Linked DNA regions of Sus scrofa. The protein of the gene in region 2 interacts with the protein of the main gene of each other region in a pairwise test. Links are inferred from orthologs where the notes say so. Each region holds a gene or a part of one and is shown on either strand. Other genes may lie near its edges.

Region 1 (7,417 bases), on a different chromosome or scaffold from region 2:
GCGGGAGCGGCCCAAGAAATAGCAACAACAACAACAACAAGAAGACAAAAAGACAAAAAAAAAAAAATAATAATAATAATAAAATTTAACACTCTGCTAATCTAACAAATAAAGTTGACAGGCAGATTTCCTGTTGTGGCGTAACAGATACGAATCCGACTGGTAAACCATGAGGTTGCGGGTTTGATCCCTGGCCTCATTCAGTGGGTTAAGGATCAGGCATTGCCGTGAGCTGTGGTGTAAGTCGAAGATGTGGCTTGGATCCTGTGTTGCTGTGGCTGTGGCGCAGGCTGGCAGCTGTAGCTACGACTAGACCCCTAGCCTGGGAACCTCCATATGCCGCAAATGCAGCTGTAAAAAAAGCCAAAAAGAAAAAAAAAAGAAAGAAAGAATGTCTGCAGGCTAGATTTTGTACATGGGCTACCAGTTTACTACCTTTGCCACAATGGACAGTGGCTAAGAATTGCTCTGAGTCAGTTAAACCTAAATCAAAAAAACAGCTCTGATTCTAACACATTTCATGAACTTGTCCAAGTGACATAATCCAAGTCTCAGTCTCCTCATCTGTACCTCGCTGGGTTTTGTTTTGTTTAATGTAATTAGGTAATGTATACACTCAAATTTTATCTCAATATTATCATTAGAGGTTAAGAGGAACAGATTAAAAAAAAGAAAAAAAGAAAGAAACGGAAAAGGAGCAGCAGCAATTGAGTCCCCCTTCCATGTGGCTGAGGGCTTTATTTCCAAGGTCATAATGCCTAGTCCCACTGCCTTTCTCACTCACAGGCTACTTTCTTGACCAATCTCTTTCTTCAGGTTTTTCAAGGCCACCTCACACCTCACCGCTACCTTTCCATTCTACTTCAGGCCATTCTCCACTCTCCTTTTCTTTTAAAGCATTTTCAGGCCTGGCAGTGAAGCCACTCCAAGCTATACCCAAGAAATCCTGAACGTAGTTGTTTTCCTCCCTCAAATCTCTGAGCACTGTGCATGCTGTGAACTTCCTATGACAACCTGAAGATCCTGATCTGCATTTTCATTGAACAACGTTTTCAACTATCCTTCTTCCTTTTTAATGGTTGTTCAAGTAATGACAAATAACCAAACAAGTTAAGCAAAATGTCAAACCATATCAACACAAAATTCATTTCTAAGCAAACAGATTTGAAAACAGCTTCAAATATCCATTCCAATGTCTCCTTCTGAAAAGGAAATGTGAATTAAGAACAATCTAATTTTGGAGTTCTGTCGTGGCGCAGTGGTTAACGAATCCGACTGGGAACCATGAGGTTGCGGGTTCGATCTCTGGCCTTGCTCAGTGGGTTAAGGATCCGGCATTGCCATGAGCTGTGGTGTAGACTGCAGAAGCGGCTTGGATCCCGCGTTGCCGTGGCTCTGGCGTAGGCCGGTGGCTATAGCTCTGATTCAACCCCTAGCCTGGGAACCTCCGTATGCCGTGGGAGCAGCCCAAGAAAAGGCAAAAAAAAAAAAAAAAGAGAGACAAAAAAAACCAACCAATCTAATTCAGTTTGGTTTCTTACTTCATTCTAATTACAGCTGTCCAAAAGAAAAAAACCCTTTCCCCAAAAAAGTATGCTTAATATTCTCACAGAGAGAAGTTAATATTGATTTCAACTCACATGGACAAATAAAGTTCTTCATTTATAGCAAGCTGGAATCTTGATTCTTTGGAACTTCTGAGTATCAAAAGAATGCTATGGTGCCTCTCTCCCAGAAAATGCACAGAGCCTCAAATTTTTGTATTCAATTTCAGGGCGTTCAGAGTATTCCAGGATCTTCAGTGGATCCACCCACCTCTGGTTAAAGAACACTAGTGCTGAATGTGAGGTTGTTATTAAATATCACGCATCTTTGGAGAGATATATAAAACCTTCAGCTCTAATATCAACAGGGGAAGCAGCTTCCCTTTACAACTATGACTACTTCCTAGCAGCCATGCTGACAGCTGACAGAAAATTGAGAATTTCTTACCTCTGAGAAATTAACAGCCAAAGGAATGATTCCAGCCACGTAACATCCCACCAACATAGCCAGAGACAGCAGACTAATAGAGATGAAATCATCCATTCTGCCCTCCTTTATTCACTCACCACCACCAGAGTACAAATTTTCGGTGGTCTCAAAGGGTACTTAGGTTCTTAAACGCGTGTGGTTGTTTCAGCAGAACAAGTAGACTTCCCAGTTCTTTTGTCCTCCCCACCAGCAGATATGTTCACGAGGCACTGTTCTCTTGAAGGTACCTGGAAACACTCCCTTTTTGTTGATACTAGCACCAGAGAGAACTTTGAGCAATCTTAGGTCGCAGCCCCTAAGTTTTCAGATATCAGTCACTGGATTCTCGTGGGTTAACAGATGAGAAAAGTCCAGGGGGAAAATATGCGAATGAGCGAGTTATTCAATCATTGTTATAAGGGTAGCATAACAGGCCTACTTCCTCCACAACGTTCCGGGCGGCAGCAACAAAAGGAAAAATCCAAGCGAAGATGTTTGTTCTCCGGGCGCCCCTATCTCCCTGGAGCAGCCCCGCCGGTGATTCCTCCAGGTCTGGGACCAGCCCACCAATCCCAGCAAACTCCTCTCCGAGTCTAGGATGAGGAAAGGAGTCCTGCAGGTCTCTAACGATTGGTCGTAGGGGCTCAGCAGGGAAGCTGATACAAAGCTGTCTCTGCCCTATACCCAGTGCTACCCATGTTACTCCACTCTGCTGGGCCTTGACCCGGAGCCACCAGTACTACAGCTGCCATGGCCGCCAAGTGGCATCTCTTCTTTACATCCACTTCCGGATTGCCTTACTGCCCCCTCCTTTAGAAGGGTACTTCCGGGTTGCAACCGACCTATGCCCCGGGATTCTTATATTGCCGCCATTTTTGAGTAGGGCCATTGAAAAAATGACTTGTGTAACTGTTTAAACCGATGATCACTGTAGCCTCATGTCTTACAGCGAAAGCGAGGAAGACAGATTCTTGGAAAGAAATATGATTTTTTTTAAGTTCCGATACATTCTCTCTATGTCTCGTCGCCCTTATTCAAAATGGCTGAAACAGAGTCAACATCTGCTCTAGCTGCCGGAAATAAAGGAGCCTCTATGGTTCAAAAGGTTCTTTCGCGGTGCCCTTCTGACGACTTCCGGCGGCTCCTCTCGCGGGGATTGGCTGTTGGCGGCGTTGCGGCTAAGCTCGTGTGCTGCAGCAGTGTCGGCAGCGGCTGCAGGAAAAGGGATCGGCGCGATGGTGAGAAAGGCCTAAGCGGCTCCCCGAGCCCCCAACCTCTGGGGCGACCCCTGCTCGTACATCTTCTCCCAACGCGGTCTAGCGCGCGCATGCTATTGCTCGGCTCTCCAGCCTGTAGATCGATCCTTCCCCTTCCCGCCGCGGAAACGCTGGGCCTGGCACTAGGCCGCTGAGCCCCGGTCCGCCCTGCGGTTGCGCGCCAGCCTGATGGCTCCGGCAAGGCGTGCGGTGCGGAGGATGCGCTTTCTCCCTATTGCTGCTTGGTAGAACCCGGCGTTGGGATGCTGACCTGTCTCTGCAAACGCTCTATCTTACTGTAGGAACAATGGGCGAGAGATGTCTGACAATCCTGTCTCTCCCCAAGCTTACAGCACCCAAAGTGTGGGCCAGGAGGAATCGTCTTTGCAGCGTGCTCAGCTATTCCCTTTGTTTTCTGTGCTCTGCCTTTTTGAAAATACGTGCAACCTTTTCTCTTTTCTGAGATGTACATGCTTGGTTTTGTGCTTCCCTTAGCCTTCAATCCTCTTTTTATCCTTATTTATATTCTTTGGGGCTGGAAGTTGAAAAGATAGGTTGAGCTGAGGGTCCAGGTTGCTTAGAACCTGGGTCGGTAGTGTAGTGGATGGGGGCGGGGGGTGTTGTTTGGTCGGTTTTGTTTTTTTGGGGTTTTCTTTTGCTTATGTGTGTGTGTTTTGTAATTCACAAAAAGGAAATGCTCTCAGGGATTCTGAAGAATCATGATTACTTCCATACTTTAGTTTTCGTTTTCAGTTTGCCACAGTTATTAACAGATTATGCATCTGTTATTAACAAGGAACTTTTTCATGTACTTCTCTGAATGGAGATACTTCAGTGTTTGACCCAACATAGTCTCCCAAGGAGGACTAGGAATTAGAAGACTGGGTTTTCAATTCTTGGTTTATTATAAATAATAATGTGACCTTGGGTATGTCATTTCATCTCAGTGAGTTTCCTTCCTTTTATGTCACTGTTTGGTCAGTTGTGTTAAAATACTTAGATTAAATCTGAGAAAAAGACAGCAGTTAGTAACAACCCATTCGCATTGAGCAGATATCTATGATTAGTTCTTTAATTCCGAGTAGAATTAAAAACTGGAGTTTGTATTTAAAGTCAACAGTTACTGGTTCAGAAGTCTTAAATTTTGTTGCCCTTACTGAACAACTTTAGTTTCTTTTTCTTCTCTCTGCCCCCATCTTTTTTCTTTTTTGATAGTTTGGGCGAAGCAATTAGTATCCATGAGGACTCAGGTTTGATCCCTGGCCTCGCTCAGTGGGTTAAGGATCCCGTATTGCTGTGAGCTGTGGTGTAGGTCACAGATGTGGCTCAGATCCTGAGTTGCTGTGGCTGCGGCGTAGGCCAGCAGCTACAGCTCTGATTTGAAGCCTAGCCTGGGAACTTCCATGTGCTGCACTTGCAGTCCTAAACAGACTAAATAAATAAATAAATAAATAAAGATAAAAGTACATCAACCCTCACCCCTTAAGGTGAGTCATCTCCAAGATGAATAATTTAATGGATTTTCTAAGGTGATGTTATATTAATTTTTATTTATTTATTTGTTTTAATTTTCCTTTTTAGAGCCATACCTGCAGCATATTCAAGTTCTTAGGCCTAGGGGTCGAATTGGAGCTACAACTGCCGGCCACAGCATTCAGGATCCAAGCCTGTCTGTGACCTACACCACAGCTCACGATGCAGGATCCTTAACCCACTGAGCAAGGCCAGGGATCTAACCACAACCTCATGCTTCCTAATTGGATTTGTTTCTGCTGCACCACGACAAGGAGTTTTTATTAGGGACTTAATACAGCTAGAGATAGAAAGAGACCAGTGGAGATAGAAAACCTAAGTAAGTTTTCAATCCAGCTGGGAAGAAAGATGCAAAAGAAAAAAAATAAACAGTACAAGGTAGCTAATGCTGAATACTTACAGACAGTAAGTGTAATAACAGTTTGAGAAAACAACCATTAAGAGTAAGAGACCTTGCAGAGGAGTTGTGAATCCAGCTTAATAACCAATGATCATTTGTGTCATGTTGCAGATTTTATCTCATACTAAGAATTTCTCAAGTATAAGTTAGAAACTTACATTAAAATCACTTTTCCCCCTGCAGTCTCACACCATTTTGCTGGTACAGCCTACCAAGAGGCCAGAAGGCAGAACTTATGCTGACTATGAATCTGTAAATGAATGCATGGAAGGTGAGTCTCATTTAGGACCTAGGTTTGTTTTTTCCTCCAGATTTCTTGAGGTGTTAATTCGAGCAGGGAAAGTAGATATTTAGGACCATGTTTGTTGAATACTTGAAATATTAATTATGCATGCTGTCTTATCAAGCTCTTGTATATAATGAATGTCTTTCCCAAGCCTCTGATTGTTCTGTAAAATTCTGTTATGTATTGTTATTTTGTTGTATTATGGAAGTATTTTACAGCTATCACTTATATATTCTGGATAAACTAAGCACTATAAAGTTGTTAAGGCAGGCAGGAGTGCCTACAGAACCAAATCTGCTTATAAGCAAATAAACATAGTTAAAAGCTGATTACAGTCCATAAGAATGTTGTTAGGAAATAATTAGCTCAGTGAATAAAGGCAAGTAGAACCTAATCAGTATAATTTATTGTGTATTTGATAAGATGGCACCACCCTGAAGGGAAGTATTAGCCTTCAATAAACTTTTCAGATGAGATCACATAAATTGGATCATCACAAATTGGATTAATCCTTACATTTATTTATTTATTTATTTATTTATTTATTAAATGGGAGTTGAGGAGGAGATGGATGATGTTCAGACAAAAAAGATGTTTCAGATGTTCCCTTCAGGTTCTCGCTTGGGTTTTGGTTGTTGTTCTTTTTTTTCTTTTTTGCCACAGAGGCAGTATGTGGGAATTCCTGGGCCAGGGATTGAACTTAGACACAGCAGCAACCAGAGCCACATTGGCGAGAGTGCAGGAGCCTCAACCCAGTAGGGCCATCAGAGAACTCCCTCATCCTTACATTTAATCATTATATCAAGTAAACCACTCGTGCACACCCTGCACCCTTTCTAATAAATTGTCCATTCTTCATTTCTTCTTTTTTTATTTTCTTAATTACTCAAATGAATTTATCACATCTATAGTTGTATAATGATCATAACAATCTGATTTCACAGGATTTCCATCCCACAACCCAAGCATATCCCCCCACCCCCCAAACTGTCTCCTCTGGAGACCATAAGTTTTTCAATGTCTGTGAGTCAGCATCTGTTCTGCAAAGAAGTTCAGTCTGTCCTTTTTTCAGATTCCACATGTCAGTGACAGCATTGGATGTTAGTGTCTCATTGTATGGCTGACTTCACTTAGCATGATCGTTTCTAGGTGCATCCATGTTGCAAAAAATGCTGGTATTTCGTTCTTTTTAATAGCTGAGTAATATTCCATTGTGTATATGTACCACATCTTCTTGATCCACTCCTCTGTCGATGGACATTTAGGTTGTTTCCATGTTTTGGCTATGCGTAAATAGTGCTGCAGTGAACAATGGGGTACATGTGTCTTTGTGAGTCGTGGTTTTTTCTGGGTAGATGCCCAGGAGTGGGATTGCTAGATCAAATGGTGGTTCTGTCACTTAGCAATACGTATTTAAGGTACTTCCCTTCATTTTGTAGCTTGATGGCCATAGCTTTTTTTTTTTTTAATTAGAAATGGTGGTTTATTTTCCATCTCAAAAGCTAAAACAAAAAAAGTTAAAGGAGTTACTAGAATCAGTTCTCACAGGGTGGTAGCCAAATGGTAATTTTCTTATTTCCTTATTTTTCATTGTTTTAGTAGTTAATATTCCTCGGGAATACAGAGCTTTCCCTTCCCGCATCATTTTTTTAAATGAATGGTTTCCTTTTTTTTTTTTGTCTTTTTAGGCTGCAGCCGCGGCATATGGAGGTTCCCAGGCTAGGGGTCTAGTCGGAGCTGTAGCCACTGGCCTACTCCAGAGCCACAGCAACGAGGATCCAAGCCGTGTCTTTGACCTACACCACAGCTCACAGCAATGCCAGACTCTTAACCCACTGAGCAAGGCCAGGGATCAAACCTGCAACCTCATGGTTCCTAGTTGGATTCGTTAACCACTGAGATATGACAGGAACTTTGGTTTCAATTTTT
Region 2 (6,780 bases):
AGTACTTCTTCATTCAGGTCGTAAGATTATCAGAAGTGGAACTGGTTTATAAATGCTGAGACCATTGTGTCCACTGACTTGTTCAGGTTCCCACAAAGCGTGACGTGCAGGGCTGCAGCTCCCAATTGCCGTGTTTAAGGCACTTCCCGGGAAATGTGAGAGATCCTGCAGAACGGAGTCCCGTTTTATTTCCTTTGCAGCCGGACGTTCTGCCTGTTACCCTTCCTTCCATAGTCAGCAACTCTCCTCCCATTCTTGAATCTGGATTCCCTTGGTTGGTGTGTTAGCAAGAATAAACTGAACCTTGCCTGAGGGTTCCACCAGGTGCAGCCTGCATATGGGGAAAACTTGGTGAATGAGGATGCTTAGGTACCACACAGAGGGGGAAAGAAAGCGATGTCTGGAAATATCCAGAGGTCTGTGCCGCTCAGCCCAGTAGATACGGCCCAGGCACCCATAGGGAGCCAAGTGGGGTCCCAGGCCAAGTGCCTTTGTTTGGCCTTCAGAGACTCTGTTTTGGTCACTGCACTGAATACGTGGACCGATTTCCTGGTTACCATTGGAGCCTTTTTTTTTGCTTTTTAGGGCCGCAACTGAGGCATATATGGAAGTTCCCAGGATAGGGGTCAAATCAGAAGTATAGCTGCTGGCCTACACAACAGCCACAGCAACACTGGATCCGAGCTGTGTCTGCAACCTATGCTACAGCTCATGGCAACACCGGAGGCCAGGGATTGATCCTGCATCTTCATGGATACTAGTCAGGTTCATTACCACTGAGCCACAACGGGAACTCCATGGTTACCACTGAAGCTCTTAAAGTGATGTGTGAAGTTGCAAGAGGCCAGTTTGTTACAAAGGGGCTTGGGCCTACTACCAAACTGGAAAAAACCCTGTTTTATGTTAACTCATTAAAGACTTCCCTTCCCACCTTGTGAGGTGAGTACTATGATTACCCTTATTTTACAGATGAGGATTTAGGCAGAGAGGTTAAATAAACCTCCTGAGTTTGTAGCTAGTGGGTCTAGATTTAAGGCTAAGCAGTCTGGCTCCCAGGCTGTGTGTTTAACCACTACACTATACTGGCTCTTGAGACTCAAAAACACCTTGAGAAATGTGAGATCCAGGATGAATCTGGATTCAGAGAAGCTGGTGAATTGACCCTGTCCCGTAATGTGCCTGTCTGGCTGCTGCATTCCTCCTTTCTCCCTGAGTCAGTGCCTGGTGGACACTGTCCTGAATGGAGAAGACCACCTGCCGCTTCTGCCTCTTGCATCTTTTTCCTCAGACACATTAAGTCCGGGGAGTTGGCTGGTTTATTTTTCCAAGGGACCCACATCCCCAGTTGGGGCCAGCAGGGGAGGGAGGGAACTGTTCCTGCTGGTCTGCGTGTGCTGACTCTGCCAACATGTCCCTGACAGTCTGGGAGCTGTGGAGGCAAGGTTATGCACAATATCTGTATGGCCGGAGCAGGGAGGGACCCAAAAGCTGGGAGCCTGGGCCTTCTTAAGAGTGAGTTCCTATTCCCAGCCAGCATGTTGTTTTTTGTTTTGGGGCGGGGGCGGGGTGGGGGGGTGTTGGCTATACCTGTGGCATGCAGAAGTTCCAGGACCAGGATTCAAACCTGAGCCACAGCAGTGAAAACACCAAATCTTTAAGCACTAGACCACCAGGGAATGTCCTAGCCAGCCCATTGTAGTAGAAGCATATCTGGAAATGAACTTGAGCCCGTTTTTGGCCTCTGACTAATCCCAGACTATAGAGTTTTTATGAAGTCTTAACGGTGTGGTTGAGCTTATGGCTTCTGTTCAGGACTGTGTGGAAGCATCTTTCCTAAGGGCTTCCAACACTGGAAAGTAGCTCCTGTGAGCACCTATGCAGGCTGTTTTCTCTCTTCCTGCTCCTCCCTTGGCAACTGGCACCTCTCTGGTTTTAGACCACTAATAGAATTGGGGAGGTGGGAGGCCTTGGGCTTGGGGTTTTGCCGCCCCCACTGGGTGTCCAGTCCTAGCCTCTCAGATTCCTGTCTGCCTCTTTGTTTAGGCTGGGCTGAGCAGTTCCAAGCTTTCCATGTCCAAGGCCCTTCCTCTCACCAAAGTGGTTCAAAATGATGCATACACAGCTCCTGCTCTCCCTTCCTCTGTTCGAACAAAAGCCTTGACCAACATGTCCCGGACTCTAGTGAACAAGGAGGAGCCCCCCAAAGAACTGCCGCCTGCTGAGGTGAGGTGATGGTGAAGGAGAGGAAGTGACCGCACTAGTTGAGGGTTAGCCTCTGCGGGGTGGGCGACGTGCTGTGTGTACCCTGCCAGGTCCTCAAAGTGCCTCTGTGAGATAGGCATTGCCACCCCCATTTTACAAAACCCAGTAGCCCCTGTGCCTAGTGATAGAACAGGGGGCTGCTCGGAAGAGGGCTGCCCAGAGCACCGAGGAAAGAGCATCTCACTCCACTGGAGAGATCCGAGGAGGCTTTAAGGAGAAAGGGTGGTCTGGGCTTTGTGGCTCTTGAAACTTGAGTGACATTCTAGGCATATTTAGGAAGTGATGAGAGATTCCATCCCTTAGTGTAAGGTGACGGGGGCATGATTAGAGGCCTGGTGGTGACGGGGTTTCCTCTGGGCCTGCCTGGCTGGTTACCTGCAGTGAGTTCTGCTGTTTGAGCACTGCTCTCCTCTGACTCCAGTAATGCTCTTTTGTCTGTGGCAGCCTGTCCTCAGCCCTTTGGAAGGTACCAAGATGACGGTGAATAATCTGCACCCTCGAGTCACCGAGGAAGACATTGTTGTGAGTATTGTGGCCTACCAGAATTTTAAATCTCAAGCCACTTCTGTTTCAGGGGCCCCCAGGACCACCCCCAGGTTCACTGATTCTCTAAGAGGACATGCTGGCCTTAGCTTCGAGTTATGTGGGGGCTAAGATTCATTACAGGATACAGAGCAAAATCAGTGAGGGAAAAGGCCCATCGGGCAAAGGTTAGAGGAAGCCAGCTGCAAACTTCTGGAGTCTCTCCCAGTGGAGTCACACAGGATGTGCTTTATTCCCCCAGCACTTGGTTGTGACGATGCATGTGAAACCAGGGGAGCCCTTTGGAGAGTTGGTGCCCAGGGTTTTTATCAGGGACTGGTTGTGTAGGCACCCTCTGCTGTATATAGCACATACCGAAACTCCAGACTCCAGAGGAAGGCAAGTGCTTAGCATAAACCACGTTGTTTGTCTAGGCACAGTGCACCACTCTTACCAGTTAGGGTGGTGGGAGCCCTCCCAGAATCCGGGGTCCCAGAGGATAGCAGTCAGGCTGGCTATGTTAACCCTCCTCCTCTTAGCTTCTAAACCAGGGCCAGGGGATCGTGCCGGCTTAAGTCGTGAATGGGATCCTTTAGTCCTGCTGTGGAAAATCCAGTGGTTCATATTTTCCCAAGAGTCTTTGGAATTTCTGCCTCCTTTAGGGGTTTTCATAATGACTCCAAAGTAAATAGTAATGACTCCTGAGAGAGATGGATTGGTGTCGTCTGGCAGTTGGCCCTTCTGGATTGTCCTTCTGGTCCATCCTGTCCCACCCTTAGCAGTCCTGGGCAAAACCTAATTCAGGTACTTGTGAAGAGTGACCCAGATGCAACCAGGACTTCTTTCAACCTTATTTTCATTCAGGCATCAAGAAAACCTTTTAGGAGTTCCTTTCTTGGCTCAGCAGTTAATGAACCTGACTAGCATCCATGAGGACGTGCGTTTGATCCCTGGCCTCGCTCAGTGGGTTAAGGATCTGGTATTGCCGTGAGCTGTGGTGTAGGTCACAGGCGCAGCTCAGATCTCAAGTTGCCGTGGCTGTGGCATAGGCCGGCGGCTACAGTTCTGATTGGACCCCTCACCTGGGAACCTCCATATGCCACTGGTGCGGGCCTAAAAAGACCAAAAAAAAAAAAAAAGGAAAGAAAACCTGTTAAAGAATTCAGGCATGATTTTGACTCACCTGTTAGATCACAGAATGAATGCATCCAGATGCTAGCTTCTCCCTGCAACTGAGTCCCAGGTTGTGTAACAGCCCACACTGGCCACCACATTTGTTAATGGTTTTATGTATGAGTGTTGTGTGATTGCTTTGTGAACGATGCACACGAGAGGAAATTGTAGCCTACTTTCTGTAATACTAGACAAATTATAAAGATTAAAACAATTTGGAGTTCCTGTCGTGGCTCAGTGGTTAACGAATCCAACTAGGAACCGTGAGGTTGCGGGTTCGATCCCTGGCCTTACTCAGTGGGTCAAGGATCCAGTGTTGCCGTGAGCTGTGGTGAGGTCCCAGATGCGGTTCGGATCCTGCGTGGCTGTGGCTGTGGTGGAGGCTGGCAGCTACAGCTCCAGTTTGACCCCCAGCCTGGGAACTTCCATATGCCGCAGGTACGGCCCTAGAAAAGGCAAAAATAAAATAAAAGAACAACATTAATAAAATTCGGGTCACACTTAGTATTCAGTTTTGTGTCTTTTTTTTTTTTATGTATAGTATTTTCCCTTCTATCATTAGAAACAAGTCATTTCAACAACGTTTTCATAAATCTTCTTTGTCCTCATAACAACCTTGTGAAAAACAGTTACAGGTGGAATGGTGGCCTGAGTGCTAGTAAGTCTTTGCAGTCCACTTCCACATTGTGTTGTTCCCTTTCTTTTTTTGTTTTTGTTTTGTTTTGCTTTTTTAAATCTTTTTAGGGCTGTACCTGCAGCATATGAAAGTTCCCAGGCTAGGGGACAAAGCGGAGCTGTGGCCTCCGACCTACACCATAGCCACAGCAACGCCAGATCTGAGCTGCATCTGCAACCTGCACCACAGCTCATAGCAACGCTGGATCATTAACCCACTGATTGAGGCCAGGAATTGAACCTGCATCCTGATGGATATTAGTCGGATCTGTATCCGCTGGGCCACAATGGGAACTCCATGTTCCCTTTCTGGCCTCAGTCTCCTGGTCTGTAAAAGGAGGAGGGATTGGAGTAAATGGTGATCATAACGCATGTTGGCAAAGCACTGCCTTAAAAATGATTTCAGTTGAAACCCCTCCGTCCAGTCAAACCAGGATGGTTGGTCACCCTGTATAGAATTCTAGAATTTGTACTTGTAATGGATTCCCAGGTGATACGTTAGGCACTGTTCTGGGTGAGCCTGCATGTCCATTCTCATGACAAGCACTCTGAGAGAAATTCTGTGTTGCATGACTGTTGCCCTTGTTGAGGAAGTAGTAGGCACTGAGGCAGGAGGACTTCGGAGGTGACTTGGAGTCACGGGAACCTCCAGGGTTTGCAGGCCCAGATCCGTTTCTCACTGCCAGCACATCCGTCCTCTCATCTGGTGCCGTATTCAGGCCTGTGGATGTCCCAGGAACACCACCTAAAATGAAGCCTCCCTGGACTCTGGGGTGCTGGGCAGAGTCAGAGTGCAGCCACCAGTCAACCCAGAGCCATATTTAGAGTGCGTGAATGGCAGGCAGGCACGACGACTGCCCCAGATTCTCCCCCAACCCTAACTGCTCCTGTTCTTCGCAGGAGCTTTTCTGTGTGTGTGGAGCCCTGAAGAGGGCTCGGCTGGTCCATCCTGGAGTAGCAGAGGTGGTCTTTGTGAAGAAGGACGATGCCATCACCGCGTATAAGAAGTATAACAACCGGTGTCTAGACGGTGAGTCCGGGAGAAAGCAGCCACCTCCTGCTCCTTACTGCTTACAGCAGGCCTTCTGAGAAAGCCCTCCTGAGATGGACGTCCTGGTGCCTTATACCCTCTGGGGCCTCCTGCATACCAAGATCAGGCAGCAGCAGTGTGCAGTCGTCTGTTCCCCGGGGCCCTGCGTTTCTACCTGGCCTGAGCAGTTAAGTCTGGCTAGCAGAGAAACACCATTTTCCCATGGATGGTTCTCTAGGAGGTCTTGCCAGAGAAGCCAAGAGCCATAGCCTCCACTTTCCAGATGTCGGATATTGGTCTGCTTACCAGTAGGACCCAGGTTCCTCAAAGGCCTGGAGTTTTGTCTAAATATTGGCACCTGAGTGAGCTCTGCTCCTAGTGGTAAACTAGTTTTACTGAATTCAGATTTATATTCATCTCAGGATAGCCCGTAGAGAGAAACTCTGCCGTGCCCCTTCTATTCACTTCTTTCCATGTTTATCGAGTACACTGTGGACCAAAGCCCTGTGCTAGAAGTAGAGATGCAGAGGCTAATAAAAGACAGTCGGTGGAGTTCCCATCGTGGTGCAGTGGAAACAAATCCAACTAGGAACCGTGAGGTTGTGGGTTCGATCCCTGGCCTCGCTCAGTGGGTTAAGGATCTGGTGTTGCCGTGAGCTGGGGTGTAGGTCGTAGACACGGCTCGGATCCTGTGTTGCTGTGGTTGTGGTGTGGGCCAGCAGCTACAGCTACGATTAGACCCCTAGCCTGGGAACCTCCGTATGCAGCCCATGTGGCCCTAAAAAGACAAAAGACAAAAAAAAGACAGTTGGTGATACTTTCCTGTGCATTTCCGTGATGGTTGATGATGTTGTATGTCTTCTTGTGCTTATTGGCTGTTTGCGTATCTTGGAGAAATGTCTGTTCAGACTATTTGGCCACTTTTTTTTTTTTTTTTTGTCTTTTGTCTTTTTGGTTGTTGTTGTTGTTATTGTTGCTATTTCTTGGGCCGCTCCCGCGGCATATGGAGGTTCCCAGGCTAGGGGTTGAATCGGAGCTGTAGCCACCGGCCTACGCCAGAGCCACAGCAACTCGGGATCCGAGCCACGTCTGCAACCTACACCACAGCTCACGGCAAC

Evidence for each region.
Region 1: the proteins of POLDIP3 (region 2) and ERH interact in a two-hybrid assay, tested with the Homo sapiens proteins (2 studies listed by BioGRID, with this or other methods). The link is inferred for Sus scrofa from reciprocal best matches to the Homo sapiens genes POLDIP3 and ERH.

Annotation. Positions count from the first base shown.
Region 1 is NC_010449.5:93,079,714-93,087,130, reverse strand, and holds the start of ERH (enhancer of rudimentary homolog), read left to right. Parts: upstream 1-3,180; 5' UTR 3,181-3,248; coding exon 3,249-3,251; intron 3,252-5,385; coding exon 5,386-5,473; intron 5,474-7,417. Other genes in the region: SLC39A9 (zinc transporter ZIP9), read right to left, coding at 1,993-2,088. UniProt on the Homo sapiens protein: May have a role in the cell cycle.
Region 2 is NC_010447.5:6,189,539-6,196,318, forward strand, and holds part of POLDIP3 (polymerase delta-interacting protein 3), read left to right. Parts: intron 1-2,043; coding exon 2,044-2,223; intron 2,224-2,706; coding exon 2,707-2,784; intron 2,785-5,532; coding exon 5,533-5,662; intron 5,663-6,780. UniProt on the Homo sapiens protein: Is involved in regulation of translation. Is preferentially associated with CBC-bound spliced mRNA-protein complexes during the pioneer round of mRNA translation. Contributes to enhanced translational efficiency of spliced over nonspliced mRNAs.